Coturnix japonica: one gene and its partners. The protein of the gene in region 5 interacts with the protein of the main gene of each other region in a biochemical or structural test. Links are inferred from orthologs where the notes say so. Each region holds a gene or a part of one and is shown on either strand. Other genes may lie near its edges.

Region 1 (4,116 bases), on a different chromosome or scaffold from region 5:
TGCAGACTTAATGAAGGTACGCTCCATCCCCTCATCCAAATCATCACAAAAGATATTTAAACAGAATAAGCCCCAATACCTGCCTCTAGGAAACACCACTTGTGACTCGTGGTTAAACGATTAATACTTTGATAAACTGATAACTCATAAGTTAGAGTTTGTGACTCCAGGAAATTCTTAGTGAATTTGTCATTGAGACAGTGACCTTACTGAAATCTGCTATAAAACTGTTCAACACTGTTGATCCTAAAGGGCATGGGAGAATCTGATCAGTGAAAAGCTGCGTGCTCATATTGAGCCGGGACTGTCCGACTGACAGCAGGAACAAAACTTCCAGCAAGTCCCATGGAAGCAGGACCAAATCATTACACAGAGTTAGTGAGATTCAACTCTCATTTTCAGTTACATAAATCTGGAGAACATCTTCTGAAATAAGTGGAATTATGGTGATTTAGCCCAAAAGAATTGAGAGCAATTTTCTTTAATTAGGTGGTAGGGGGGGAAGAGATATAACTCCTTTACGTTACCTCATTGCTACGTATCAACCAAGGCTCTATCTGCTGTCAAAATCATTATCTGCTTAAGTTGGAGAGGAAAAGCTGACTTCACCATTTAAGGATTTAAGCTTTTATTTTCTGTTGTCCTTATCCCTCTGCTTATCCCCTTCCCCACATCTCAGCAGGTAGATTCCCTTCAGATGAAGGGCCACATTTCTTTTTTCTGCTTCAGTCTAGATTTCTTAATATCTAATATACTTTTTCCATTAACGTGTAATCCAAACCGAGACAACCTGAACACTTTCACTTCGCTCTGCCAGAACTATTTTTCTAGTTATTTTTAGAATATCATAGTTAAATTCAAGCCCAAGGCCTGTAGCTGAAACAGCAAACTGCACCAAAAGCCTGATACATCTGATTTCAAGGCAGTAGTGCCTCCCAAAGAGCCAGCTCTGTCACCAGCAGTCAGTGGAGTTATGAGAACATAATCCTCAGACAAGGTGGCACATTCTTCATGCAGCAGAATTTATTCACCTCCATAAGGCCCACAGCCAGAATGAAATCTGCGGCCTCACGTGGAATCAGTCAACCTTTCTGAGGGCATGCATATGCACACACAAGTACGGGTCTTTGAAAATGCACGTCCATGCTTTAGTAATAGAAGAAAGGAGATTTTATCCTAAATACCCCCATATATCTGAGATGTTTTCTTTTGATTTCATTCATCACTGGCTTCCAGAAGAATGAAATTTCACTCTTCTGTACACGTAGGCCTACGCTGGAACGGTGTCCTCTACCCAAGGACAGGGATCTGTGCTTTTGGGGAAGAGCTTCCAGTCTAACCATTTGATGAAGACAGCTAAGTTAAAGGCAAACACCTTCCTGTTCTGCAGAGCTCTATCCCTGCACCTGTGTCGCTTCAGGCGGCAAATATGTGCCTTGCTGCAGAAAAGCCACTATTTTTATCTGTACCAGCACTTAAGCCATCAACGTGGATTACAAATTCTCCATCCATCAAGTCAGAAACAGTTTTCCCTGTGGAAGCACAGGGTACACCCTCATTTTGACTACATGATCCACAAGTAGGCATCCACAGCACCATGGTTCTGCTTGACCTGCCGTGCAACCCCTGCAGAAGACATTCCAGTGGCCACTCAAAGGGTGTGACCCACAACGGCACAAAACAGAGCCAGAATAAAAACCAAATCGGAGCCACGTTTGTACCAGCAAATGGATGTAAAGGGAGCTGAATGGAAAAGCAATGAGGTGGTCTCAAATCTCACCCAGGAAAACATAGCTGAGATAGGTCAGCAGCCTCCTGAGCAAATGCTGCAAGAACACATTAAGCAGCTCCTACAGGGAAACAGCAAAAAAACCACTCAGCTCAGTGCTACAGCCAGAAAAATATACACTTGTCTGTAGATCTACATGCTAACTGAAGCATTGGGTGCGTATGGATCTCTCACTCGAAATGCAGATACAAACAGACCATGGAACTTGTGGCTCGGCACCTCAGACGGAGCCATGCACAGGTGCGGATTGATGCTATAACGCCTCCCGATGCCTCGCATGAACGAACGCGGACGAGGCAGAGCAGCCTCGCAACAAGCAGCCGCGGCTGCAGGACTCGCTGCAGACCCCCAGCAACCGGAGGTTTGCAACTGCAAAACCCCCGGGGAGCAGAGCCGTGCGGGGAGGGTCCTCTCCCAAAGGCACAACCGAATGGAATCGGTACCGGAGCGCTGCGGCTCGGGGCAGCTCGGATGCTGGCTCTGGGGTCCGGGCTAGGAAGGGCGATGCCTGAGTTTGATGGAAAGGGCTTCAGCTGAAGCACAGCCGCCCAGGGAAGGTCATTTTAGCCGTAGCGGCAGCAGCCCAACCCTTGCGATTTTTCTTCTGCAACCAGCAAAATATTCCTACCTCACGGTGACGACCATCCCTTCCATCACCGAACTACCGCCGTTCGTTTCAAGATCGCATCTATTCCTTTCCCCCCGCAGAACCCCCTTTTCATTCTGGAAACGTAAGAGGGAAACGCTCCTCGCGGAGCTGACGGAGAAGGAGAAGGAGGAGGGAAGCAGAAGGCAGCACGCACTCACCTCGGCGCCGGGCCGGCAGCCTCCACCGCCTCAATCCATCTCCGCAGCCCCGCACTGCTCCTCCCGCGGCCTTCTCGCAGCTGCCCGGTCTCCCAGCAGCAGACGGACGCTGCCCTCCCTCCTCTCCGGTCTCGCAGCCCCTCGCTCCGCCCGATGCCGCAATACCGACGCCCGCCGGCGGCCCGCGGAGGCAGCGGCGCGGGGCGGTCCCGCCGGGAGCCGGGCGGGGGACGCGGGGCCGGCTGCGGGAGGCGGAGGCAGCAGCGCGTTGCCACGCCAACGAGCGGAGGATGGCAAGGGGGGGCGGGCGGCCGAGCCCTGTAACCCTCCAACCCCTCCAACCCCTCCCGTCCTGGGTGACAGCGGCGGACGGGCGGCTCCGCTCCGTGTTGCGTAAGGAGCGCGCACGGGGCAGCTCCCCGAGGAGAACAAGGCAGCGGTCGGGGTGCCGCATGTGTGTCAGAGTGATGCAATGAAGGGCAGAGGGCAAAGCCGGCTCGTGCCGCGGGATCTGCCTTCATTCCGCTGTTAACATCTTTCGGTTGATTTCGGTGCCGGGCATTTTCTCTTTCCATCTTTCGCTTCTACGTGTGACGCTCGCTGCAGCTTTATTTAAGTGATACCAAGTACCATTTTCTCTTATGTCACGGATGGAGCTACCTGTTCCTACATATCTTTCCTTTTAGCCGTGCAGGCTGCAGCCCTGCTCACACAGCTGCGATTTCTCCCTACAGTGCGATTTCATAACCGGAATCTATTACTGATACGTTTCTGCTGGAGACAGCAACGGAGGCTCCCAGGCAGAGACAGAGCAGGGGCATGTTTCCCACAGCGAGGCTACCATGATGCAGCACAGCAAACATCTGATTCCTGTCATTAACGCCGCTTGCAGGGCTGATCCATCAGCACAACTGCAGCATCAATGAGCTACAGGAATGAAATATTTTAGTGTAAAAATGCAACGTAGCAGCATTAGTTTTCTTGCACTGAAATAAGAACCATGAATCAGTGTAGCACGTGAGTCCTATGCGTAATGAACCTCAGGGTTCTTACCAACAGTTTGTCCATGCACCTGGGCTGGTGATGTGACTCAGAGCATCAAAAGATAAATGTCCTATACGTGACCAGCGCTGTTTTCTCAGCAAAACTGTAATCTTCAAATCATAAACTTGCCAGCTTAATAAAACAAACAACCAGCTTTTAATCTCTCCAGCTTTACCTTTCAGTATCCAGCAATGCACGTTTATGCTTTGATGCATTGATACGATCAGGCAGCAGTGACTGTCTAAATTCTAATGGTGCTCTGTGTCTCTCAGTCGTTCTGCAGTGCACGAAGCTCTGCCATAGTTCTGTTGGCAGGGGAATAAAGAGGGATAAAGCAGTGTAGCTGTGGTAACTGCCTGAGTACTCTGGATAATGGGATGAAAGAACAATAACAAGGTGTACAGGTTTAATCTGCTGCTCCATAAAGAACAAGTAGTTACTATAGAAACTGTCATATTACACGTGTCTCCAGCATA
Region 2 (4,009 bases), on a different chromosome or scaffold from region 5:
CGCTTGCACCGAACCTTTTGCAACTGCTCCAAGCAAACTTTTACCTACTTCAATAGATGGAACTGCAAAAAACTTTTCCACTGCTCTCCCTCAGTTAATCTTTTGCTATTCTAGCGAGTCATAGTCACTCAAGGACAGGCCTGACAAGCATTAGTGTCAACACAGGATCAGCACAAGGAGGTAGCAGTGACTGTGAGGCCAGCTCCCACCATCACACTGAATCCCCACAGCCCTCAGAGGGCGTGGGGCCTACATAGTATCCCTGCCCAGCTGCCGGTTAACTAATACACCAGCAGAGCATCAATAAAGGGGTTTTGTTTGTTTGTTTTCATGAAAATAGTAGTTATTCCCCCAGAAAGTTTTAGTATTTCAATAAGAATTCTCATGAGTTTAAATGGTGCAGGGAAGAGCTAGGAGACTATGAGATTAAACCACATCTTCAGAGCACTCTGGGAACTTAAACAGCAGGGTTTATCACGGTGGAAGGCAATAAGATTGGTCAGAGTTCACAAATTACGGAAGAAATGCCATTTTCTCCTCGTAAAGCACATTCTAGTTTAAACAAGAGTTAGTACAGGAAGCACTAACAGCCTGTGCAGTGCTGGCCATGCCTGACTGCCACTCATCCCCACCAGCTCTACAGCTTGTCACGCCATGGACGCTTCTGAAATTCACACCCCAGGTGACCAGTCACAGCTCCGTTTTGTCAACATTTTCTTGTATAATTCTGATATCCTTCAGAAAGAGAACAAGTGGAAGGTGGCAAATCTGTCTGCAGCTTCAAAAGGAAAACAATTTCCAGGTGAAATGGGAACTTGTTAGTTGGCGGAGTTCCTGAAGACAGTTTACTGAGCCTGTCACTCCCTTACTCCATTAAAAAAAGGCATCCTTTATTATAGCTGACATTTGAACGAGTTCAGCAAATTAAAATCCAAAGTAGGAGAATTAGCTGAAAGGGACCTAACTCATGGGTGAAGCTTAAAATAAAGCAAGCTTCTCTTCAGTAAAGCTTTGTTAACAGCTAATTGAGATAATAATATCAAAAAGAAATGTCAAGCCTTCACTATCACTTCCCAAATTTAACATACAAGTCAATTACTATGTCTTGCAAAGCGCTGAATGAAAAAAAATCTTGCACCACCTGATTTCAATACAGTTCTGGCTACTATGACATGTCCTTCGTTCTAAGGCCGTAATGACCACAACCATTTATTTGACAAAAAGTGAAAACATCCATATGTATGGATAAAACAGTGTTATGAGACTCCATGAGGGCAGATGCTACAGCTCAAAGTGAGGTAAAAAGAAAACATAAAGCATTTGAACTCGGTGTTTGCTCAGTAGACCATGTGTTATGCTTTACATCCACACCTGTCATTTTCTTTTTATTGCTACCTGCAGTAGTTACGTGTGCTTACACGTGGTTCAGGCACACGGCCCACAAATCAGTGGAAACCACCCACAACAAAACTAAGTCCATTAATGATATTCTAAAAACCTGTACAGGTCATAAATTTCACTTATATTGATACTTCTTCAATTGCATTAATGATGTTGAAGCTTACACCATTTCTTCGGTGCATGTGAAAAGGCTTAGTGAGTTACCCTCTGCTCGGATGGCTGGAGGCTGCTATTTAGCCATCAAATCCTACACACTGAAGATGAGGGAACTCTCTGATACTGAGAAATGCCACAAGAGCAGCGTGCTGTATGACAGGTGCCTCAGTAAAACATTGTTTGCATGGCTGGGCAAGTTTTGGAATCGAATCAGTTTGAAAGCATTACTTCAAATACCAAAAAGCCTCGTGTGATATTCAGACAGCTTGTAAATGATGTTTACCCATCTACACGAGCAGAGACAAAACAGCACTGCCACCTTCATCAACAAGTAGAGTAAATAAGTATTGTCAATTTAGAAAGAGATCGGTTTCAGACAGGATGGGCTAATTCCGACTGTTGCATTCATAGCAGATAGATACTGTTGAAGAACAAAGCAAAACAATTTCACTTCCTTCTTTTTCTTTTCCCACTCAATCAGACCCTAATACTCCTAGAGCAGGACACACACCGCAGCCCTGGAGAGCTGCCCCGGCCCTCACGGCCTTCCCAACCCGCAGCTTTCTGTGCGGAGCAGCACGCAGCCCCCCGCCCCTCGGTTCGGCCGCTGCCGCACACCAGCCGTGCCCGCCGCAGCGCTCGGAGCACCCGCATCCCCCGGTGGGGCTCGGGAAGAGCAGCAGGGACGGCGGGCCCAGCAGCGCGCAGGCCTTCCTTCCCTCCGCACCGCCCGGCAGCCACGGGACAGGGGTACGGGGCGGCACCGGCCCGGCCTCGAGCAGCTTTCCGCCCTCGCAGCCACGCCGGGCGAGGCGAGGGGCGGAAATCCAGCAGAAAACAACTTCGGATCGGACGCTGCCCCCTACGAACCCCACGCGGGGCCGGGCGGCGGCGAGGCCCGAGCGCGGCGCGACGCGGCGGCAGCCCCCTCCTCCCCTCCCGGCGGCGAGGGGCAGGCCCGGGGAGGGGACTCGCTCCCCAGACCCCATAACGCAGCCCTCCTTCTCTCCCTCACTGCCCAGCGGAGCTACCGCCGCCGACCCCACCGCGGGGCCCGCTCGAAGCAGGGGGCGCCCCGGAGCCGCCCCTTCGCCCCCCGCGCGGTGCCGGGGTCCGCTCACCTTGGTGGCCATGGCGCCGCCGCTGCAGGCTCGGCTGCCGCTCTGCCCTCCCCGCCGCGGCCCGCGGCTGCTCGCTCGCCGCGTCCGGCCCGCCCGCCGCCGCTGGGCCGCGCAGGCGGCTCCTCCTCACCTCCCCCGGTCGCCGCCGCCGCCTGGGGGCCGCTGGGCGGCTCAGCAGCCGGCCCGGCGCTGGGCAGGCGGCTGCTGCTGGTGTGGCGGCGAGGCCGTGCCCCCTCCCCGCAGCCCCCGCACCCCGGCGCTTTGCCCCCCCGCCCCGTCGCCGTGAGGGCTGGAGGGGGAGGGGGAACCCCGGGGGAGCCGCCCCGGCCAGGCCCCAAGGGCGGGCGAGTCCCCATCCCCCGGCCCCGTGAAGCCTTCGCGTTTCTGTCGGCTTTTGCCTCAAATTCGTATTCCTGGAGCGGGGCGGCTCCGGGCCTGTGGAGTGCCCGCGGTGTCGACCACGCGGGCAACCCTGCTCCGGCCACTGAAAAGCTCACAGAACTCTTTCGTTATCTGTTTGGTGTCGTTATCCCTCGGTTCCCTCTACACAAAGATTCTAAACAGCGAGGAGACGAATATCCCCTCTGCCGGGCTCATTCTGCTGCTTTCACAGAGGCGTGTGTTTCAACACTGGTGCTGCCGGGCCTTGATGCACGGCAGCAGGGATGCAGCCTCAAGAATCCACAGAATCACAGAATCACAGAATGACCCGGGTTGGAAGGGACCTCAAGGATCATGTAGTTCCAACCCCCCTGCCTGGCAGGGCCACCGAACATACACATTTACTAGATCAGGTTGCCCAGGGCCCCATCCAACCTGGTCTTGAACACCTCCAAGGACGGGGCATCCACAACCTCCCTGGGCATCCAGCCAGGGGCTGTGCCATTGCTGTCAGACACTGTGCCAACATCTCACAAAGAATAAGACATCTTACTCAATTTCCAGCCTTGGGGAAGGTGTGATGGAGGACCACAACAAAGGCTGAGGAGGAAATCTGGTGGCAACAGTTATAGAGAGGTTCACAGACCACATGAAACCCACCTCTGCCATGTGCACCTGGTGTCTTATTGGGAGAAATCTGGCATTTTTGAAGCCAGAAAATGGAAACTTCTAGGTGAAAGAGTGGAACTTATTAATGACTGCTTGTATGCATCCCTTCTTCATTTAAGCTGTTGGGATAGAGATTCTAGACAGAAGTGCCATCTAAAGTTTGCCACAGTTTAAAGGTGGCATAGCTGTGTCCACAGTGCTAGCAAGGAAAAAGGGCCTGGGACTGATTTCTGATTGCAGTAAATCACTTGTGTCCACCCTGCTTAGGATTACTTTGGCTA
Region 3 (3,500 bases), on a different chromosome or scaffold from region 5:
TACCAGTGAAGTGTTAAGTAATTTACATTTGGAGATTCTCTCCACACATCAGAAACACACAGACCAGAAATGGAGGTAAGCCAGCCTTATCCTCAGCAGATTACCTCCTACCAACACTAAAAACAGGCATGAAGCTGAACCCCTCAGAGCTCATTGCTTGTGCTGTTGTTTTCCTACAGAAAAGAAGCAAGGCAGATCACTTTCACTTTCTTTTCCTATAAAGTACTTAAGAACAGCATGGGAATCAGCCTATCTTTCAGTGCACATCTTTTCTTGGTATCTGCAGTCCTGCAAGTCCATGCGTGTCTAACAACACAAGGCTATTAAGTATGAGGTTTTTCATTTTTAAATTGGGAAGAAATTCTAGTATGTTTGGGTAAATGCTAATGGCAACAGCTTTACAACCAGATCACTTGAGAGCATCAAAGATGCACTAAAGATGTGCTAAGAATGTACAAGTGAGACATAATTCAGGGGTACAAAGCTAGGTATCACATGCAGGAAAGATTTTATTTTGTTGAAGCTACAGTAGGTGACAGTGATAAAATTCCTTTCTTACACCCAAACCCCATTTCTTACCTCTTTGGGAGAGGTGAGGACTGAGCCACTTGCCAGTACCGCTGGTTTGGTTACAGACACTGGACTGGTAAAGGCAGAGTCACGGCTGGAGGAAAGCGAGCCTGGCTTGTGTTCATTTCTGTTGGCTTTCCATGGACTTGGCTATGTTGAAAAGAACACAAAAGACAAGAAGTGGTAAGACACTACAATGGGTTGGTTGCAAGCAGAAAAGCAAAAACAGTTCACCTCTAAATACATTATTTTTCCCCATTATCATCTCCTGTTTCCTCCAAGGCACAGCAAGTTCTGCTTCACAGGCATGACCCCCTAATAAGAAAATGCAGTTGGAGCCTAAGGAGAAAATCCAGCACTGCTCTTCATCAACTGGAATCACCACTGAGAGAATCAGTGCATCTTGCAGCTAGCATCAGATAGGAAACAAAGATCCCAATTAAACCCATGTTTCATATAGGAATGCTGTTCGTCACACAGAAAAGTTCTGCCTCACTTGACAGGAACTTCCCCTGTGCAAGAAAGCAGCACCTCAAGGAATCTTTCTGTCCAAGCCGAGAATGTAAATTTCCTTAGGGCTCTGGAAGTGTCCATCACTGCACTGATTTAGCCAATAAAAGTAATAGAAAATTGGCAGTTTAATGCAGTGGATGAGCACTGTACCTACCTACTGTTTTGCTCTGGATACTCTCTGCAATGTCCCTTAGATACAATGGCAGTCTGGCTGAAAAGCAAAGCCTTCAAGATAACACTTTGTTACTTGGAATTTTGTTCTTGGGCCTGTCTCGTCAGCCAAGGACAAACACTGAAGTGGCAGCTTTTATTACAGTAACGCTAACAAAGGACTCGAATCAGGCAGTGTAAAAAATACATTTGTCAAAGCATTAAGGCATAACAGTTCCTTTGAACAATTGTGTTTCTGAAGCCAACTTGATAGCAAAATAATTCATGCATGGTGTGATTAAGCTGTATCTGACATTAAATAGATCTTGTATCCGTGAGCAATGAAAGCAGAAGCCATAATTTCACTATGATCTCTCTCTCCATTGGGCTATTTTATTCCTTTTAAAATAAATGCATCACCAGAGGAGACCATCATTCCATTCTCATTAATAGCCTTCCACACCAACTTTAGAAGTAGTCTACAGCGCTGAATAAATAATTCAGCACTCATACCAGATTCCAAACATGTATTTGAAACCCAGAAAAGACTCTGGTCTCCAAAATATTGCCTGTAGTAAGTTTCTTAGGAGCAGAGAATCAATTTAACAAGAAGCTTCCCTCTGCATATTCACATGGATGCACTCGTTCAGGTACCTGGCTCTGGGCTGCTAATTGTCATTCTCCCACCTTCCACAAAGTGGCAGCTTACACAAATTCAAACTCTGATCACTGCTACTTTCTTAGAGACTGCTGGATTCAAGGGCAACAGCTACAGCTGAGCATCAAAAGGAATCGCCTGCATATTATGACCTTCACTCACTGCTCACCTGTGAACAATTCCGCCACATCTAAAGGAAGAATGTGCTTCCATCACTGCCACCGTGTTCTCCTCCTCTGGTACAGCTAACAAGCATATTTCATCCAGTTTGCCTCTGACAGCTTTCCAGTACTGCTGACTTTGTCAAAAGGAACGTTCTGACTCCTCTAATGCTTTATGCACTACAACTTCCACACAACCTTCTGGAGCCTTCAGAATAATGTAGCCTACCACAGCTCCTTTCTGTCTCTACCTTTAAAAGAAGGCATCATGAACACAGGTTTTCTACCTAAGGATGAGCAGATCTCCACCTTTAGCTCTATCAGTGGTCGTCATTCACTAACACACAAGCTGTTGATGAGACAGCACACAGTTCCTAGTTGTTGAAATCCCCACCAGTGAGCAGCATCATACTCCCTCTACAACCACAGCACGGTGTCAATGCATGCACACTTCATGACTGGAGAACACAACTTATATCACAATTAACATGACTGTGATCTCCTGGGAGCTGCCACACATCACGAGTCAATACCTGCTCTACCAGCCCAGTTATCAGCATTGTCTCATCTATGGTAAGGATTCAGGTACAATCCACACCTAGTAATTGTTCTGAATGGAATATCCTGGAATATACCAAAGGAAAGTGAGGCAGCTACTGTAACATATGGCCATAATTCTGAATTAGATATAGACGTATAAGCTAGAACACAAGCAGGGAAGATGTCAAAACTCAAAATCCCCCCCTAAAACAAACCTTGCATTTTTAGCATTAGTTCAACTTTCACACCACAGTCACAAGACCGTCTCCAAAAGCCTGATCATACTCCTTAAATTATCTATGAAAATAAGAGGCTTTGTTCCAACTGTGGGCACAGATTACTGTATTTTTGTTTGTTTGTTTCAATAAAGAATTAAAATGTAAAGGGTAATTTCAGAGAACAGTTTGAGAAGTTTTGAGAGCAGCTCTGCTAGACTGAATTAACAGAAAAACTTCTGCAAAGGGTTTTACAAGTAATGAAAACAAAATGCAACAGCAACAACACAGCGAGAACTAACAGCTATGAAAATATTTATGTTTGACTTCCACAATTTCAAGGCAATGGGTCTACATGCAGCAGCACAGCAGACCTTTATACAGCTTTCAGAAGTACATTTCAATCTCTTAAGCTCTACTGCTGGTACAGTGCTAGTTTTCAAACCTCACAATTATCTTTTCACACAAAAATAACAACAGCTAAGTTAGAAAAGCTGTATGTGCTCCTTTTCCATTGATCTACAGTTCACTGACTTGGCTGGAAAACCTCGTACCTTGGAAGGAGGAGCTGCAGGTTTAGGAACCAGATTTTTGTAGACACTTGGGACAATGGTGGTGGCTTTGTTACCATTTGCCAGGTGAGAAACAGGTGATGTAAATGCAGCTGAGAAGGCAGCAGCAGGATCCTCTTTT
Region 4 (4,241 bases), on a different chromosome or scaffold from region 5:
CTACAAGAGGCTAAAGTCTACCTAGCACGGACAAGAATTTAATTAAGAGGAAAAGCACAATATCCAGCCAAATAAAATCAATCACTCAGATGCCTTCCCTTCTCAGTCCATGCTCATCTCCGCATGATACTGCAGCCACAGGATCTGCTCCTGCAGAAGAAGCTTGGGCAAATTCTGACCTATCAGACCATGATAATTTTGGTGAGATTTCCTGACCTGTTTCTCAGCAAGGCACAAACTCACAGCCACATTTAACTTATGTCTCTTAGCTACTACCCTGAATTTTCCTCTTATTTCCAGCTTTTTTATTAACTCTGCTAAGTATGTGGCTATCAGCTACAGCAAAACAAAGCTTTTCAAACAAAGAGATCCTTGAGACAAATATTGCAAAGGCAAAGATGGGAGGGCTGTGGGAAGGGCAGCTGTACCTGGGGTTTATCAGGCCCAGCACTGCTGGCCAGGCGAGGAAAGGGGTTCTCCTGCTCTGCATTGCAATGCTGTGTCCTCACATCAAATACTTCCAAATTGGGATATTCTATGGCTCTAAGGAAGGAACAAGGCTGAGCAATTGTCGCAATAAACAAACCCCACTGTCAGAGGATGGATGAGTGTCAGTGTCAATCAGCGTCAGCCCAATCTGTGACCCTGCCCTGAGCTGACAAGGTTCTGACCATCCCCAGGGTGTGCACAGGCAGCTCCTCTGAAATGAGGCACGTGGGTAATGAACGAATGCACACCTCAACCTCTTCGGAGCAAGCAGCTTTGCAGCAGACAATGTCTGCTCTTCAGGGGCTCGGCATTGACTCTGCAGGGTAAATAACTGTCAATAGGCGCCTGGGGCCAAGTGGATCTGTCAGATGGCTGCAGGTGCTCGCTGCCAAGTGGTGTAACCCACTGCCAGCACTCAGAGATGGGGGACAGGCTGGTGCTCACACAGACACTCTACATTCAGATGTTTGCCAGCATCAGTGAATCCAAAGGCTGAGACACGATCAAAGAGTCGATTCTGAAGTACAGTGCCTGTCCACACTGCAACTCTGAAACAGACATTATTTGTGCTGTTTGCCAGGGCTGGACACACATAACCTTAACCCATCAGAAAGGACGAAGTTCCTGGCTTCTCGTTCCGTTGGACCAGAATCGCAGAATCACCGGCTCGGAGCAGGAGCTGTCAGAGCGGTGTCAGACGGTGTCAGAGCGCTGTCAGAGCGGTGTCAGAGCGGGGACATTCAGGCACTCGGCGCTGCTCCCCCAGCCCGCACCCAGCTCGTCTGTCCCAGCCGGGTCTCCCTGCCATAACCCCGCACCACACTGGAGGCCACCAGAAGTTTCCAGCCGGGCCGGGCTCGGCCGCCTCCCTCCTCCCCGTCCCTCCCCTTTCCCCTCCTCCGCCGGCCGGCGCCGATTTCCAGACACTTCCAGCCCCGCGCCTCCGCCCCCCCGCTCCCCGCGGCGGATAAAGCGGCCGGGCCCGGCCTCCCCGCCCCGCACTCGGCGCATGGCCCGGATCCGGCATGAGCGCTGCCACGCACTCCCCGCTGCTCCAAACGGAGAGCGGCTCCGAGCCGCTGCCGCCCGGCTGGGAGATCAAGGTGGACCCGCAGACGGGCTGGCCTTTCTTCGTGGACCACAACAGCCGAACCACCACCTGGAGCGACCCGCGTCTGCGGGGCGACGCGGCCAAAGTACGGCGGGGGGTGCGGGGCTGCGCTATGGGGCAGGGGGTGGGGGGGGGGGTTGGAGGGAGGTGGGGGCCCGGCGCTGGGCTGGGGGCTGCCGGGGCCAGGCTGCGGCTCAGCGCGTGGCAATGCAGTGAGGCCAGGAGCTGCCTTTTGTCTCTGACGCACTGCAGTCCCTTTTTTGTGCATTAAATCATCCGATACCTCGGCTCCGGGGTGTTTATTTAAAGTTGGTGAAGTGAACCCGGCCGGCCCGGGGAAGGCTGGGATGGGTTTTTTTCGGCTGCAAATGAGCCGAGGCGACGTACAGAGCTTCAAAGTGACGCGGCTCAGACTTGTCAAGAGTTTTAGGGTTTTTTGTTGTCTTGGTCTCGTTCCATACTCCGTCACTTCGTTGTGTTGTGTCTGTAAGTGCGCTCAGAGAAAAGCTGCATCTCAGTCCTAATATGTCCATGGCTGCGGGCAGCGGCTGGGAGCCGGTGGGACCCGCAAAGTGGCTTTTCGGAGCCCAACTCTGAGCCTTCAGAAGTTGCGCCGTGTGACCCGCCTTAGTATTAACGCGGTGACTGAAAAGAAAGTGCTGGAAACTTGAGCTGCACCGCGAGTTGCCAGAGTGGTGGAAAAACAAATCCTGGGGGGTTTTCTTGCATTTCTCTGCAAGCAACGCTGCTTTCTTTCAGCCCGGGTACGGCCAACCTCGCGGCTTCGCCTTTAGTTCTGCAACCCCATAAAATGGGCAATGATGAAGCATAATATCGCGGCTCCTGTGGAGGATTTCTGTCCGTCCTTGCGACCTAAAATGTCGCCCGTTGCCGCCGTTAGGACGAGGCCCAGGATCGCTCCGTGCTGGACCCTGGCCGCCGCTGCTCGGAGCGGTGCTGGAAGGGATCGCTTGGACTGTGCGGAGCCACGGCTGGCCCCGAGCCCAGCGCCGGCTCTCAGCTGCCAGGCCCGGCTCCGTCCTGCTGCAAGTCAGCTGGAACAGCCCAGCTGCTCCCTGGACGTGGTGCGCGTGGAGCTGGCAGCCTCCAAGTGCTTTGATCACGGTGACGCGGCCCAGCGAGCGCTGACTGTGGCCATTGCTTCGCCGTCCTGTCGGGGAGAGCCGGCAGTGCTGGGAGGAATCGGGGCTGCCATCTTAGGCAGAGCCCCTTCCCTGGGAAAAGCAGCCTCTGGTGTGGCACGTGGCTCACGTGGAGCCAGTGGAAGATACTCAGTAACTCCAAAATGTATCTTCGATGTAACTGATACAGTTTTTATTCCCCTCCCCACCCAAGGAGTCTTAAAGGATTAAAGCGCAAAAGAGCATTTTGAGAAACATTAAGTTCTTACATTGAATTGCCCATTTTATGAGCGCAGATCAGCTCAGTGTGAAAGCAGACAGAGCTCACACAGAAGTGAAGGGGCTGTGCTTCTCCTTCTCCCCACTGCTCCAGCCAAGTGATGTTGTGCAGTTGCACTCACAGATACAAAGTGCTGTTTGGAATGGAAGAAATGCATTGTGCCAGTTACAACATAGCCTTTCACCCCCTTTTTCCACTCAATTATTGATTATATAGTTCTGGCAGTAATGGTAGATCTTGTTTGATGTAGTTTGGTGATGTGAATGTTGAGAGTACAATAGGGAAAAGTGCTTTAACTCATTTTTGGCTACTGACTTCCTAGTGGTAATGAGACACCTACTAACATGGGCTGTTATGGCAATAAAAATATGCTTTTTAGAGCCATAAAGCATAGTCAAGTCGAAAAGCATGCATTTATTCAAGGCTTTTGTTATGGAAATAGCACTTGAAAGTAACTCGTTTAAGGGAGAAATCACATTTAAGCTGCATTTGATAATTGTATAAAAAACAGGTTTTGAAGTGCTCTAATGGATCAGTGCTGGTTTTGAGTGGGTGACTGAAACAAAACAAGTTTTCATCCCTATCTGATGTTAAATCTGTGGTAATAAAAAGTGGCTCCTCTCCTGCCAACTTGGAAGTGTTACTACAGGCAGAAAGAGCTGTGCCTCTTTTCAGCTCTTTTTGTGGAATTCACTTGTTTTCCAAACAGAAACACCTGTCACCGCTCACTACAAGCAGGAACAGCTTTGGGACTGGTCACAGAGAAATACTTCCAGGGATAGTATTGGAAGGTTGAGTTCTCAGTTCCCTCCTTCTTAGTCTGCCTTCAGTGAGAGTGATCAGGAGTGATCAGAGAACTGCAGAAGCCAACCTTGTGTCAGACCATGTCTCATTAAGGATGAAAACACAGGCAAAGTTGTACTGACTGTACTGATGAAATCAGTGATTTTGTTGATCCCTTTTATGTTAGTCTCTATAAATCCTTATTCTCTTTATAAATCCTTGTTCTCTCTCCAAATATTCCCTCTTCACAGAGATATAGGTAGAACATGAGCTGTTGCTCAGAGAGCAGAGCGCAGGTCCAAAGCTGACTGACTTCTTTTAGCTGATCAAACAGGCTGTGGCATGGCAAGGTGCTGCATTTCCCCTACAGCTCATCTTGATCTTCCTGCTCTAGATTTGCCAGCAGTGTAACCATGCTGACTGCATTAACTGTACC
Region 5 (3,500 bases):
GAAGAGCTGGGCTGTGTCTTTATGTCTTTTCCTTTATGAGAACCCTTTGGAGAGCCCTGCAGCACCGTCTGCATCACGCTGTGGCTCAGCCAGAAGTGCCCTATCACAGGTTGGAGGCTGGCTGCAGCCAATTGTTTGTTCTTTTCAGAAACTACACGGTGGTGAATCCAGAAAAAGGGGTCATAGAAGTGGAGAGGATGAGCTGCCCCGGCATGAAGCTGTGCTGCCAGCTGAAATTTCAGAACACACTCTGGGCTGCTACGGAGGTAAGGCCGTCTGTACCCTGCTCAAGTGCTCCTCCTCGCAAGGCATGGAAACCTATGGCCTCTTCAGTCAATAGAACTAAGAGTGCTGGAGACAACAGAGCTGAGCACCTGCTGCCTCATGGGGTGTTGGTGCTGCATGCTGTTTGGCTGACACTTAGAGCACGGTTGTGTCTCCTTGTGTTCAGAGCAGTCATGGGAATCTCGGCTGCCCGAGGTGAAACTGCTCCAGTTGGGGCATATCTGCACCCAGTGGTTCCGTCTGGGAAATATCCTTATCTCTGAGTGATAAATGGGAGCAGTGAAAGAAACCATGCATTGTGGGTGGGGTTGTAAAACAGGGCCGAGGGATTTGGAATCTGGTGGGAAATGGGCACCCAAGTGCAGCGTTCACCATGGAAAACCACAGCTGAAAAGATAAGAGTGGGAGAGCATGGCTGGCTTATCTCTGAGCCTGTATCCGCCCATCAGAAAGGGCTGTGTTAAGTGTCAGCCTGTTCTGCACAACCATTTGACACAAAGCAAACAAAACATAGATGAAACAAATGGGAATGTTCCCAAAGTTCAGTTTCGGGGTTGAGGGGCAGGAGGCCACGTGTGCAGAATAAGTAATCCATGTTGGTGAATTCACATGGCTGGAGTATGGAAGCTGGAATGGAGTGAAGGTGTGTATCTTTTTCCCATGTTGATAAATAAGGTATTTGACTTTTCTATCCACTCAAATTGAGGCAGGGTTCACATATTCCTTGTAACTCCAGTATTATTAGTCTGAACCGATGGGTGAATGCTAAAGAGCACAAAACGTATCTCAGTTGTCCTGACACATTCATGGTTTGTTCAGAGTTGGGGTTACCAATGCTGGTTTCAGATACACTGCTGTAACAGCTGGAGTGCTGAGTTTAGTTGGCTTTGGGTCACAGTTGGTTCTGGGGAGGGCAGCCCCCAGGTTCTACCCATAGGCTAATGGCCTCCAGAGAAAACAAAGGGAAATCCAGGCTTTGCGTAGGAAAATATACAAATAAAAACTGTTTGGGATTCAGTTATCAAAGGGTAAAAATCATGAGAAGCAAAGGAAATTCATTGAATTTGGTGTGTTCTTCCACAGGACCAGAAGATCTCAGTGTACAGGCTGCAGGGCATGTGTCCTCTGAAGGCCCCGCAGAAGGGTTTGGACTCTCCTGCTGCTGTCAGCTGCTTCCTGGTGATTCCTGTTATCAAAAAGGTATGGGGGAATCCTAGCTCCAGCTTGAGAAGGGTGTGTTAGTGAAGCCAGGCTAGAAGGCTTGTGCCACTTGTCACCAGCCAGCATCAAAGGTGTTTGCTGTGTTTGGTAGTGCAGGAAGGTGGGTTTGGCTCTTGGTGTCTCTACCAGCAGAGTGAGGGGCAGAGGTGTAGGCATGAACCTGCATCAAGGGACCGGAGCTGGCACTGCAAACTCTGCCAGGATAATAGTCCAAACAGATCAAATTCCCATGCAAGGAAGTTTTCCAGCCGTGTTTCCACATCACTGCATGGCAAGGTTTAGGCTGATCAAGCAAGGTCGAGGGGATGTGAATGAGTAATTAGTATAGAGATTTGTTAACTGTTAATGCAGGGCTTGGGTATACTCTGGCTCCTGCTCTCACTCTTTCCCTGGCACGTGTGCATGCTGTTGTTTGTGTGCACAGTATTACCTACACTTCTTTCTGGTTTTGGATGAAAATGCTTAGGTCATAAATGCAGTCTATGAGCTGCCACCTATGACTAATAAAACGCTGTATGCTATCTAGCTGGTTGTGAAACTACTACCATCCAATTACTGGCAAGAGGAATCTGACATTACTGCCTATTGCGGGCAGGGCTGAGGGATGTACAAAAACTGCTCTGGGCTAAATTACCTCCGGTTTGTCTACAGCACCTCGAGTGAAAACACATAATTATACTCCAACGTTAATGGTGACCATGAAGTTTTTGCAGATGCCAGTGGGCTGTCTAAGGCTAAAAGCTCAACACGGAGCAGCTCTCATGGCAGCCGTGGAGCTGTTTTATACCGCGTGTCTGTTCCCGTTGTTGTCCATTTCTGGCTGGTCTGCTCAGACTGCTGTCTGCATCCAGGGCGGATGGTTAGTGTAAGGTGTACCACTTGACTTCCAAACATGGTGTGAGGAGGACTGAAGAAGGGCACAGAGCTGAAGTTGGCGGAGGGACGAGTTTCAGCCGCCTCTTGGCTTTCTTTGGCTCCCACGTCTGCAGTGTTTCTCCACTGTGCAGTTTCATTTCTGACGTGTAGGGCAAATTTCTTTTTCGTGCTGCCTGAGGTTTTGTCCAGGATAGTCGAACGAGTCTTTTTGCTTTTCAGCTTTTCCACTGTCACACAGCTTGCAAAGCCATTCCTTAGGGGTTACGAGTGGCTTTATGTCTCCTGGTTTCTATTTTCAGTTTGTGGCTTGCCTAGAAAATGTCATAAATAATGCCAGGCTCTACAATAGTAATATTGAGTCTAGACACCTCCCTTCCTCCCCCGACCCTACCCAACCTTCCAGCAATCCACATCCCTTTGCTGCTCTCCTTGCTTTATTGCACTTACTTTTTCCTCTCTCCTTTCTATGAATGAATTTGGCAGTGAAACAGCCAGAGCAGCAGCCGTGGGGATGTGCAGACCAGGCTGGCAAGAAACTAAGCCATTTTTTTGAAGCAGCCAGTTCTTCCCATAAAACAAAGCGGAAAGCTTACACTTGTCAAACTCACTGTACAGCACAGCGAGTTGTATCTGAGTTATCACATGGTAATTATTGCCTGGTGCAGGGAAGAATTGCTCTCGTTTCCCTGGGTAGAAAGCCTTCAGCTGTTGAGATGTGAGGTAACTCGCAGTCAGAGAGCTGCTGAGGGATGTTGCTGGGAAGGGGAATTCTTTATGACTGCCTTGGGAAGGCTGATCCAAAAGAAACAATTTCCAAAACTCAGTTTCTCATCCAAAGGAAGCATCATGGAAACTTCAAGGCAGCAGAGAGGGGCCCAGGATCCAAATCTCACCCGCCAAGGAAAAGTTTTGTACAATTTGAGCTTTTTTGTTGTGTGGTTTCTGGGGGAGAGAGAGATGTGTATGGGTGCGAGCCTCCAGCCTCCTGCAGCAACCTGGAACAGATGAAAACAAAAGCTGCATTTAAAGGCTGCAGTACTCAGTGCCAGCAGCGCCAGACCTTGTGGGAAGGAGGGAGGAGGTGACCGAGGCCATTTTTGGTTTTAACCTGCTCCTTG
Region 6 (4,125 bases), on a different chromosome or scaffold from region 5:
GAAGTTTAATGCAATTTGATAATACCTTGTGCATTCAAACATACTAAAATTAAGAAGTTTATTTCTACAAATCCTATTAACAATAATAAAAAAAGAGCTTTTAGAAATTCTTAGGCAAATTCCTAAAAGCAGTAATAATATCAACATGTAAAGGATTTATATATATCTGCCATAAACTATGTGAAATATTGCTCAGTGAATTTTCCCTTCCATAAAAGACTGATGTTCCTACCTATTTCTTATTATCTGGTTGTCCCATTATGCTTGTTTATATGCTATATACCACATCTGTGGGATAGGAGGGAAAATAACACTAATTTGCCAAATATTAGCAGAAGTACTTCAGTAGCTCCTCATTTAGATAAAAAACAAAGCTGTGCTTATGCTCCTTAGTTTGCAGGGAATACTCTTTTTATGAGGCTGATAACTTGTATTCTCACTGACAGGGCCCTCTTTAGAAATACAATGAAGCTGTTGTTACATATTTTGTTGCAATGCTTTCCATGTTCAAAGCACAGAGTTTATGGAATTATGGCTCGTTGTGATGGGGCTGATTCTGCAGTCCCTCTATTGCCAACTGCACTGCTTACGCCTACTCCGTAGCTCTCTGTGTTACTCGGCATAAGAGAATCTGGGTCTCTGCACCAGATGTGGTCAGAAATGATGAAATAGTAAGGCAAGAATGGCAAGGTTTTAGAACAAGTTATGTTATTGTTTTGCATATATCTTACAAGAGTCTAATCTTTAGAGAAATTCTCAATGCTTTGCAAATCCGGATGAGTCAACCACATTCTGAAGATAATCAGTGACATCACATAGCAGATACTTAACAGACCTGACTGTGCTGACAACATGAGCTGTCCATACGAACTTCATCGTGGGGTACAGACTGCAAAGCAGGGAAAGATCTATGTGGTCATCTGATTTATCACTACACAAAAAAAAGAAAATCCTTACCTTTGCTATACAATACTTGACATAATACTGTTACATAATCTGTCATTTAGATGTTGGCATTGCATTAACTTTTCTTACTGGAGAAAATCCGTGTTACCGTCTGATTACTCAGAAAGCACATGAAAGCAGCCTTTCTGTAATTTAATTTTTCTTTCCAAATACAATCCAGTCACTGTTTAGTGATGGACAACAACTAACCATCTGCCTCTTAACTTCATTATTCCTGGAGCTTGTTTAGATTTAGGAATCAGCATTTTTAAACTGAAAGCTCCTTTCTTCCTATGACCTTCTTCAACCCCCCTTCACCCTCACCAGGATTATACCATTGCAGGCATAATTAAAGTCAAATCAGTAGCATGCATGGGGATTCTCCAGCAGTTATTTTCTTTGTATTTATTTTCTGCATTAAACCCTCCTTGAAAACACTTGCTGCTTGCAAAACCAAAACTTAGTTCTTGACTCCCTCCAGCAAAGGGTTCATGGGGTAAGCATGATTCACCCTACTTCTTCACTGCAGACATTATTCATTACTGTTTGCCTCTGGTAAAGCTGAACATTTGACTAATCCTGAACATTTTCCCTTCCTTTAATCTCTCATCCCCTTCTGGTTTGAATGTACCTGGTCAAAACAGGGATCAATTTGTTGAGAAGCAACAGTCTCTGCTTGTACTTCTATCACCCTGTACTTAGTTAGGGTCTCAGCAAATTAACTCCCAGTTTTAACCCTCCCCTCTCCATTCCTCTCACTTCTCATCTGCTCTGAAATTGGACGTAGTCTTTCCTTTCCATCTTGCTACTCTTGTCCCCTGCCTTGATCAGTTTCTGGGGATTAAGTAGCTTTTTTTTTTTTTTTTTTTTTCCTAGTTCTCATAGCCTCCTCCAGAGCTGATGATGAAGAAGCAGGCCGTTAGGAGGCGGAAATGGTATGAAAGAAAGGAAACAGAAATATGGGCTGGGAGGAAAGGAGGCAGGGAAGCAAATCAAGGAGGAGAGTAGATCGGAGAGGCAGAAAGCAAGAAGGCAGAAAGCAGAAAGGCAGGGCAATAAGGACAGGAGGCAAAAGAGACAGTGTAGGTGGGAGTCAGAAAGCAGGGAGTGGATGGGATTCAGGAGAGGAAAGGGAGGTAAGGAAGTAGGGCAGGCAGGGCAGGGCAGGTATCAGACAGGGACGAGATGCAGGGCAGATAGGGAGCAAGGGAGGGAGGAAGAGAGGCAGGACAGGCAGCTTAGGGAGATGGAGGAGGCAGGGAACAGGGAAACAAGGCAGGCAAGGGAGGCAAGCTGTGGAGGCAGGAGACAAGGAGATGGCAGTGAGCAGTGGAATGAGGCAGGCAGGCAGAGGAAAAACGGGCAGAAAAGGCAGGAGAGGCAAGAAGCAGGAGGCAGGGCAGGCAAGGAAAAGGGCAGATCGAGAGGCAGGCAGGGTGTAGGGCAGGTAGGCAGGGTGTAGGGCAGGTAGGCAGGGTGTAGGGCAGGTAGGCAGCAGGCAGGAGCAGGGCAGGGCCGGGAAGGGAGCAGGCAGGGAGAGGCCCCGGCCCGCAGCGCGGCGGGGCTGCGGCCGGAGCTGTCCGCCCAGCGGTGCTGAAAAGCCGCAGCCCGGGCCCGGAGGCGCGGGGGAGGGACGGGAGAGAGGAGAGCCGCCCTGCCGCAACCCGAGAAAAGACAAATCCAAATACCTGCACAGAGCCAGGCAGCCTGCCTCGGGGCGGCGGGGGGCTGCGTGGGATGTTTGGGGTTTTTTTTCCCCCTGTAGGTGTCCTTGCCGTTGAGCTGGGTGGGTGAGAAAGATCTCCCGGCTCCTAGGTTCAGGCTCAGATCTCTCTAGAAAACTGTGAATGAGCGAGCGCCAGCTCCACGGGGCTAGGATTTTTTTTTTTTTTTTTTTTTTTTTCGGTAGGAGGCGTGTGCACCAAAGCCTGGGTCCTTCCACTCGGAGGCTGCCGTCCCCCTGGGTCCTAAGCCCTCCTGCCGCCTGCCCGACTGCCTCCCGGAGCTCCAGGCTCTCCCATGCTGCGGGATCGGTGCGCCGCAACCGCCGGGGGAGTGGTGACAAAGGAGCCGCGGGCTGCTGACAGTCGGGGAAGCAACAGCACAGCCCGTCCCCGAGAGCTTAGTGCGGGCTTTCACCTGGTGGCATGGTCTTCGCTGACGTTATTTCTCGCATCGCCTCTTTCGAGACAAACTCTGGGAGAGCACAACCTCCTGCGGCATTTACAGCAGCCACAGAAAGGGTAATCTTCATGCATTATAGATGGTCTGTCTTAACGAACATGGCAGCCTGGGTTTGTAAGAGAAGTTCTTCTGGGTCAGACTACAGGTACACCTAGCTCAGGACACTAATAGCAGCCACAGAGAATGTCTAGTGAAGAATATAAGAACAGATAAGTGCTCTCTCAGCCCCTCTCCCAAACACTTTTATGCTCAAGGACTTTCCCCATCAATACTGTGTCTGTTTTTAGGACAATTTTCTTGTCCTTGAGCTCTTTCAGTCTCTTCTAGAACAGCTATACATTTCAAAACCACTATTCCAAGATATCTTTGCAAGGATTTGTAAGCTTTGTCTAGTCCTGTGGAAATTACAAGAGATAACTTCTTTCAGTTGGTTCTGAAAATTTATTTCTGTATGAGCTTCTTAAGAGCTATGCTAGGAAGCTGTACATGAAAGACTTTAATGCCCTTAGCAAATAAAATTTACATTCTACTGCTCATATAAACACAGTTAGACCAATCAAAGGTAACTGTGAAATGCATTTCTTCCTCTGCTTCTTATGTATACAATTCCTGGAAAAAAGTGACTTAAGACAACTGACTCTTGGTCTCTTTGCTTTGGACAAATCTCCTGTGTGAGTTACTGAAGGATCTCACGTAGTGAAACACTGGGTGATAATGAGCAATGATGATAAAAATATGGATCAACCTCTTCATAAGAAGTGACTAAGCATAGTAGAATTCTTCAGTGCGCAAAAAAAAAAAAAAAAAAGAAAAAAAAAAAAGAAATGAGTAACTGTGGTTATAAGTTTTTCATCATTTATTAAGGGTGAACAGCATAAGGAAGATAAATTAGAATGATATCTCACTATCTCTTTCCATTCAAGGAATAGGAAAAAGGAAACCTACTATATCTAGCTTTGAAAGGACATAATTTTCACAAAGGGTTTAGTGAATTTG
Region 7 (3,500 bases), on a different chromosome or scaffold from region 5:
CCAATTAGTGAATAATTGCCAGAAAAAAAATCCCAATAAATAGATGTTAATGTTATTAGCCATGAAACTGACGCTGAGGCTGAACTAAAACAAGCTAACTTAGGCTGAATTTTTCACCCACCTCCAATCTCTGCAAATGATTTTGTATTCCTACACATAAAGTTAAAGGAAAAATGTAGAGAAATGTTTCTATTGCAGTAATAACTTGTCTGTCCCATGTGTTTTCCAGCTGTAGTACTGACTGAAATCCTCTGGATCAATTCCCACAATGCTCCAGGTTATCTTAAGCTTCCCACTGCACCTTTCTATCTTTTACAACAGGTTTAATTTCTGAGAGAAGCCTAGGATTCGTTTTTAGTGATGCAAAGACAGAGTTTGTTTCCAAGTTGCTGTTTTTTGTTATCTTCTAATAAATTAGCTTTTTTCTTTTTTGTATTAAAAGTGAAACACGCACTATTTCTGGAAGAGTGCGTAAGACCAGTAAGAAAATAGGCTATAAAACTTAACCTGGCTCTAGGAATAGGGTACAATAGTAGAAACTTTTTTTTTTAATTAAAAAGACTGTTCCATATGAACAGTCCCTGGCACTCCACTTCCATACTGAGCAGCATTTTTCCTTTGGTTGTGTTGAAGCTTGTTTATACAGTATTAAGAAGTTCTGTCCTACTGTACACCTTTCTGGATGAGATTGGATAAGTTTACAAAATGGCTACAGACTCTCCCCCACAAATGTAGTAACTACCACCGCAAATCTGATTTCTAGAAATTCTTACCAACAGAGATCAATATCACAACAATATCACAACAGAGAGCGTTATGAAGAAAATGGACATATATATTCAGGCCTGTTAAAGCAAATTCCCAAGTACAAGAACATATCATACACTTATTTGAACAACAAAAAAAGGAGTAAATAAAGTTATGTACTTACTGAGATTCCAAATACACCTACAACACACACTGAACAAAGGAAAAACAAGCCCTTGACACAGGCTGTTAAATTTGCCATTACCTTGGCTTGTAGTCGGCCTCCTAGTGTTGACCTGGCATGATAGATGGCAATGAGAACATCTCCTTGAACTGTTATACCCAATGGAATTACTGCTTTCCCATCTTCAATTTTAAACTCCCTGAGGAAAAAGCATATCCTCTGTTAGTCTTGATTCAGCGATATAATCTGCATTTCCTTATGTTTAATTTGCTTTCTCCAAGACCTTTAACACCAACCTATGAATTCCACACAAAATTCTTACTGTCAACAAAGGGATTCACTCTAAGTAACTTAAAAAAACCCCAAACAAACAAAAACCTGCTCTAAAAGCCAGCAGCTAGCAAACAGCAGCCACCCACGGCAGGGGAGACATGTTTTGAAGAAGCTGCTGGAAAATACAAGAGCACAGCTAGAGAAAAGGACAAGACAAACAGGGTATCGTGAATATGACTGTTCCAAGGAAAGGTGCAAAGAAACTGCAGCTGTCCTACGTCATGATACTGCTACTACTAAGGATTCTCACTTAGGAACAAAGGTAGGAATAAAGAAGGTGAAAATACCCCACAGCAGTTTCATTCTCACTCTTTTCAAGTTTCAAGCTCTTTACTGGGCTTAAAATTACCAGAAATATAGGAGGACTTGGGTATTCTCCCATCTTTCCTCCGTGACTGTTACACAGAATTGCTCAGCATCGTTTGCACTTGCAGTGATGCACTGCAACTGAAGAGCTGTACTTTCCTTAGATCTCCTACAGCTGATGGATGCTCCATGTTTTTTATGGCAGCACTGTGAAGTTCAGTTTCAGTGGTGCTGGTATATCCCCCCAGCAACTACATGCAAAATAGGAAGACTGATCCCTGCAGGACAATACATAAAGGTCTTGTTCCATTCTTCCTCCTAAAGCCCACAGTGCAATATGTCACCTTGCTGTCGCTCACCCATTCTGTGGAGATACCTCCATGCTTCTACTATAGCCACATGATTTTTTTTTAAATAACCATGATTTACCTTTCAAAATAAACTAAAATGGAACATAGGAGCTTTTCCAGAAGCTTCATGATCAATTGGCACATCCAAAGCTGTATTTCTCCTCATAGTAAAGACCTACTTAACTCACTACAGGAAAACAAAACATACAGTTCTCCATAACCTCTACTTACTTCATTTTGTCATATTCTTGGGAGGTAGTGGTTACTCTCTCATCCCCTATATAAACTTCACAAAAAGGCCTGCAGCCATTACGCTGCTTGCTGAAAAGAGGAACTGGTGTCATGATGATGGATCTGATCAGGATTGGCTTGCTGTGAGGAATAATGGGCTCTTCAGCCATCATGTCGCACATGTATTCAATGTATCTGTCAAAAGCAAGAAATAACCATTAAACAAAAGAATCAAATTCTACACTTGGGTACACAGCTTACTTTTGTTAATACTGTGCCACTGAGCAGTAAAAAACAACAACAAAACATTGAGAACATTTAACAGCACTGCTGGGAAACACAGTTTTTCAAAATCTGATACAGTACCACAAAAGGAGAACTAAATAGAAACACGGACAAATATTAATGATCCTTGACTGGTCTTTCTAAATAAGGACAGAAACACAATTCCTGAACAAAGGCACAATGGCTGCACTACAACAATATTAAACACAGAAAACTCAATACTGTCCCATGCCAAAAATCATCTGTACCTGTGTTCTACCTCACAGACAACTCTAGTCTCTGCCTTGGATAACAATTACCTAACAACTACCCACTTGTAAAACAAACTAGCCACTCTTTCCAAAAGCCTCATTTACAGTATCCCAGTAGGAAAACAATCTACATTTTACACAAAATGAATTAAAGTTACAAGAGTTCTGAAGCTAGCTACTCCGAGCTTCCTAACAGCACTTTACAGTCTGGGCTGTAACACAACCATGCCCTAGCTGAGTTTCTGATCTTGAGGAATAATGTCCTGCCAAAAAGATGTCAAGATCCTGGATGAGATCTGGGAAACTGTCTTTAGGGACCCAGAAACAGAACAGAGATGGCAACTCCTTAAGGACAAGAGCTCTCCATCCCCCAGCAATTCTCTTGCTAAGACAGGTTGAGGTAGCTTGGCTTGTTTTCAGCGTGGAGAAGGAATGGCTTCAGTGAGACCTCTCTGAGGCCCTCCAGTATTTAATAGAGCTAATAGACATGGCAGGAACCATCTTTTTACATCATCCAATAACAAAGAAAAGGATTTGGGGGTGTTTATTGATGAAAGACCCAACATGAGCTGGCAGTGTGTACTTGCAGCCCAGAAGGCCAACCCTATCCTGGACTGTATCAGTAGAAACATGATCAGCAGGTCAAGGGAGGTGATTCTGCCCCTCTACTCATGAGAACCCATCTAGAGTACTGCACCAATTGTGGGACCTGCAACACAAGAAGGATACTGAGCTGATGGAGTGACTGTAGCGGGGGGCCATGAAAATGATCAGAGGGCTGGAGCACCTCACCTACAAGGACAGACTGAGAGA

What was found.
Region 1: the proteins of LRRK1 (region 5) and GNAZ form a complex in vitro, tested with the Homo sapiens proteins (2 studies listed by BioGRID and IntAct, with this or other methods). The link is inferred for Coturnix japonica from reciprocal best matches to the Homo sapiens genes LRRK1 and GNAZ.
Region 2: the proteins of LRRK1 (region 5) and SNX9 form a complex in vitro, tested with the Homo sapiens proteins (2 studies listed by BioGRID and IntAct, with this or other methods). The link is inferred for Coturnix japonica from reciprocal best matches to the Homo sapiens genes LRRK1 and SNX9.
Region 3: the proteins of LRRK1 (region 5) and GPBP1L1 form a complex in vitro, tested with the Homo sapiens proteins (2 studies listed by BioGRID and IntAct, with this or other methods). The link is inferred for Coturnix japonica from reciprocal best matches to the Homo sapiens genes LRRK1 and GPBP1L1.
Region 4: the proteins of LRRK1 (region 5) and BAG3 form a complex in vitro, tested with the Homo sapiens proteins (2 studies listed by BioGRID and IntAct, with this or other methods). The link is inferred for Coturnix japonica from reciprocal best matches to the Homo sapiens genes LRRK1 and BAG3.
Region 6: the proteins of LRRK1 (region 5) and CLVS1 form a complex in vitro, tested with the Homo sapiens proteins (2 studies listed by BioGRID and IntAct, with this or other methods). The link is inferred for Coturnix japonica from reciprocal best matches to the Homo sapiens genes LRRK1 and CLVS1.
Region 7: the proteins of LRRK1 (region 5) and GAK form a complex in vitro, tested with the Homo sapiens proteins (2 studies listed by BioGRID and IntAct, with this or other methods). The link is inferred for Coturnix japonica from reciprocal best matches to the Homo sapiens genes LRRK1 and GAK.

What each region holds. Positions count from the first base shown.
Region 1 is NC_029530.1:7,728,883-7,732,998, forward strand, and holds the start of GNAZ (guanine nucleotide-binding protein G(z) subunit alpha), read right to left. Parts: upstream 2,801-4,116; 5' UTR 2,597-2,800; intron 2,532-2,596; exon of another isoform or gene 2,418-2,531; intron 1-2,417. UniProt on the Homo sapiens protein: Guanine nucleotide-binding proteins (G proteins) are involved as modulators or transducers in various transmembrane signaling systems.
Region 2 is NC_029518.1:46,765,417-46,769,425, reverse strand, and holds the start of SNX9 (sorting nexin-9), read right to left. Parts: upstream 2,801-4,009; 5' UTR 2,691-2,800; coding exon 2,679-2,690; intron 1-2,678. UniProt on the Homo sapiens protein: Involved in endocytosis and intracellular vesicle trafficking, both during interphase and at the end of mitosis. Required for efficient progress through mitosis and cytokinesis. Required for normal formation of the cleavage furrow at the end of mitosis.
Region 3 is NC_029523.1:18,790,943-18,794,442, forward strand, and holds part of GPBP1L1 (vasculin-like protein 1), read right to left. Parts: coding exon 3,362-3,500; intron 721-3,361; coding exon 580-720; intron 1-579. UniProt on the Homo sapiens protein: Possible transcription factor.
Region 4 is NC_029521.1:26,988,814-26,993,054, forward strand, and holds the start of BAG3 (BAG family molecular chaperone regulator 3), read left to right. Parts: upstream 1-1,441; 5' UTR 1,442-1,514; coding exon 1,515-1,685; intron 1,686-4,241. UniProt on the Homo sapiens protein: Co-chaperone and adapter protein that connects different classes of molecular chaperones including heat shock proteins 70 (HSP70s), e.g. HSPA1A/HSP70 or HSPA8/HSC70, and small heat shock proteins (sHSPs), e.g. HSPB8.
Region 5 is NC_029525.1:15,890,719-15,894,218, forward strand, and holds part of LRRK1 (leucine-rich repeat serine/threonine-protein kinase 1), read left to right. Parts: intron 1-148; coding exon 149-266; intron 267-1,368; coding exon 1,369-1,485; intron 1,486-3,500.
Region 6 is NC_029517.1:102,420,068-102,424,192, reverse strand, and holds the start of CLVS1 (clavesin-1), read right to left. Parts: upstream 2,801-4,125; 5' UTR 2,634-2,800; intron 890-2,633; 5' UTR 836-889; intron 1-835.
Region 7 is NC_029547.1:47,310,664-47,314,163, forward strand, and holds part of GAK (cyclin-G-associated kinase), read right to left. Parts: intron 2,347-3,500; coding exon 2,152-2,346; intron 1,131-2,151; coding exon 1,013-1,130; intron 1-1,012. UniProt on the Homo sapiens protein: Associates with cyclin G and CDK5. Seems to act as an auxilin homolog that is involved in the uncoating of clathrin-coated vesicles by Hsc70 in non-neuronal cells. Expression oscillates slightly during the cell cycle, peaking at G1.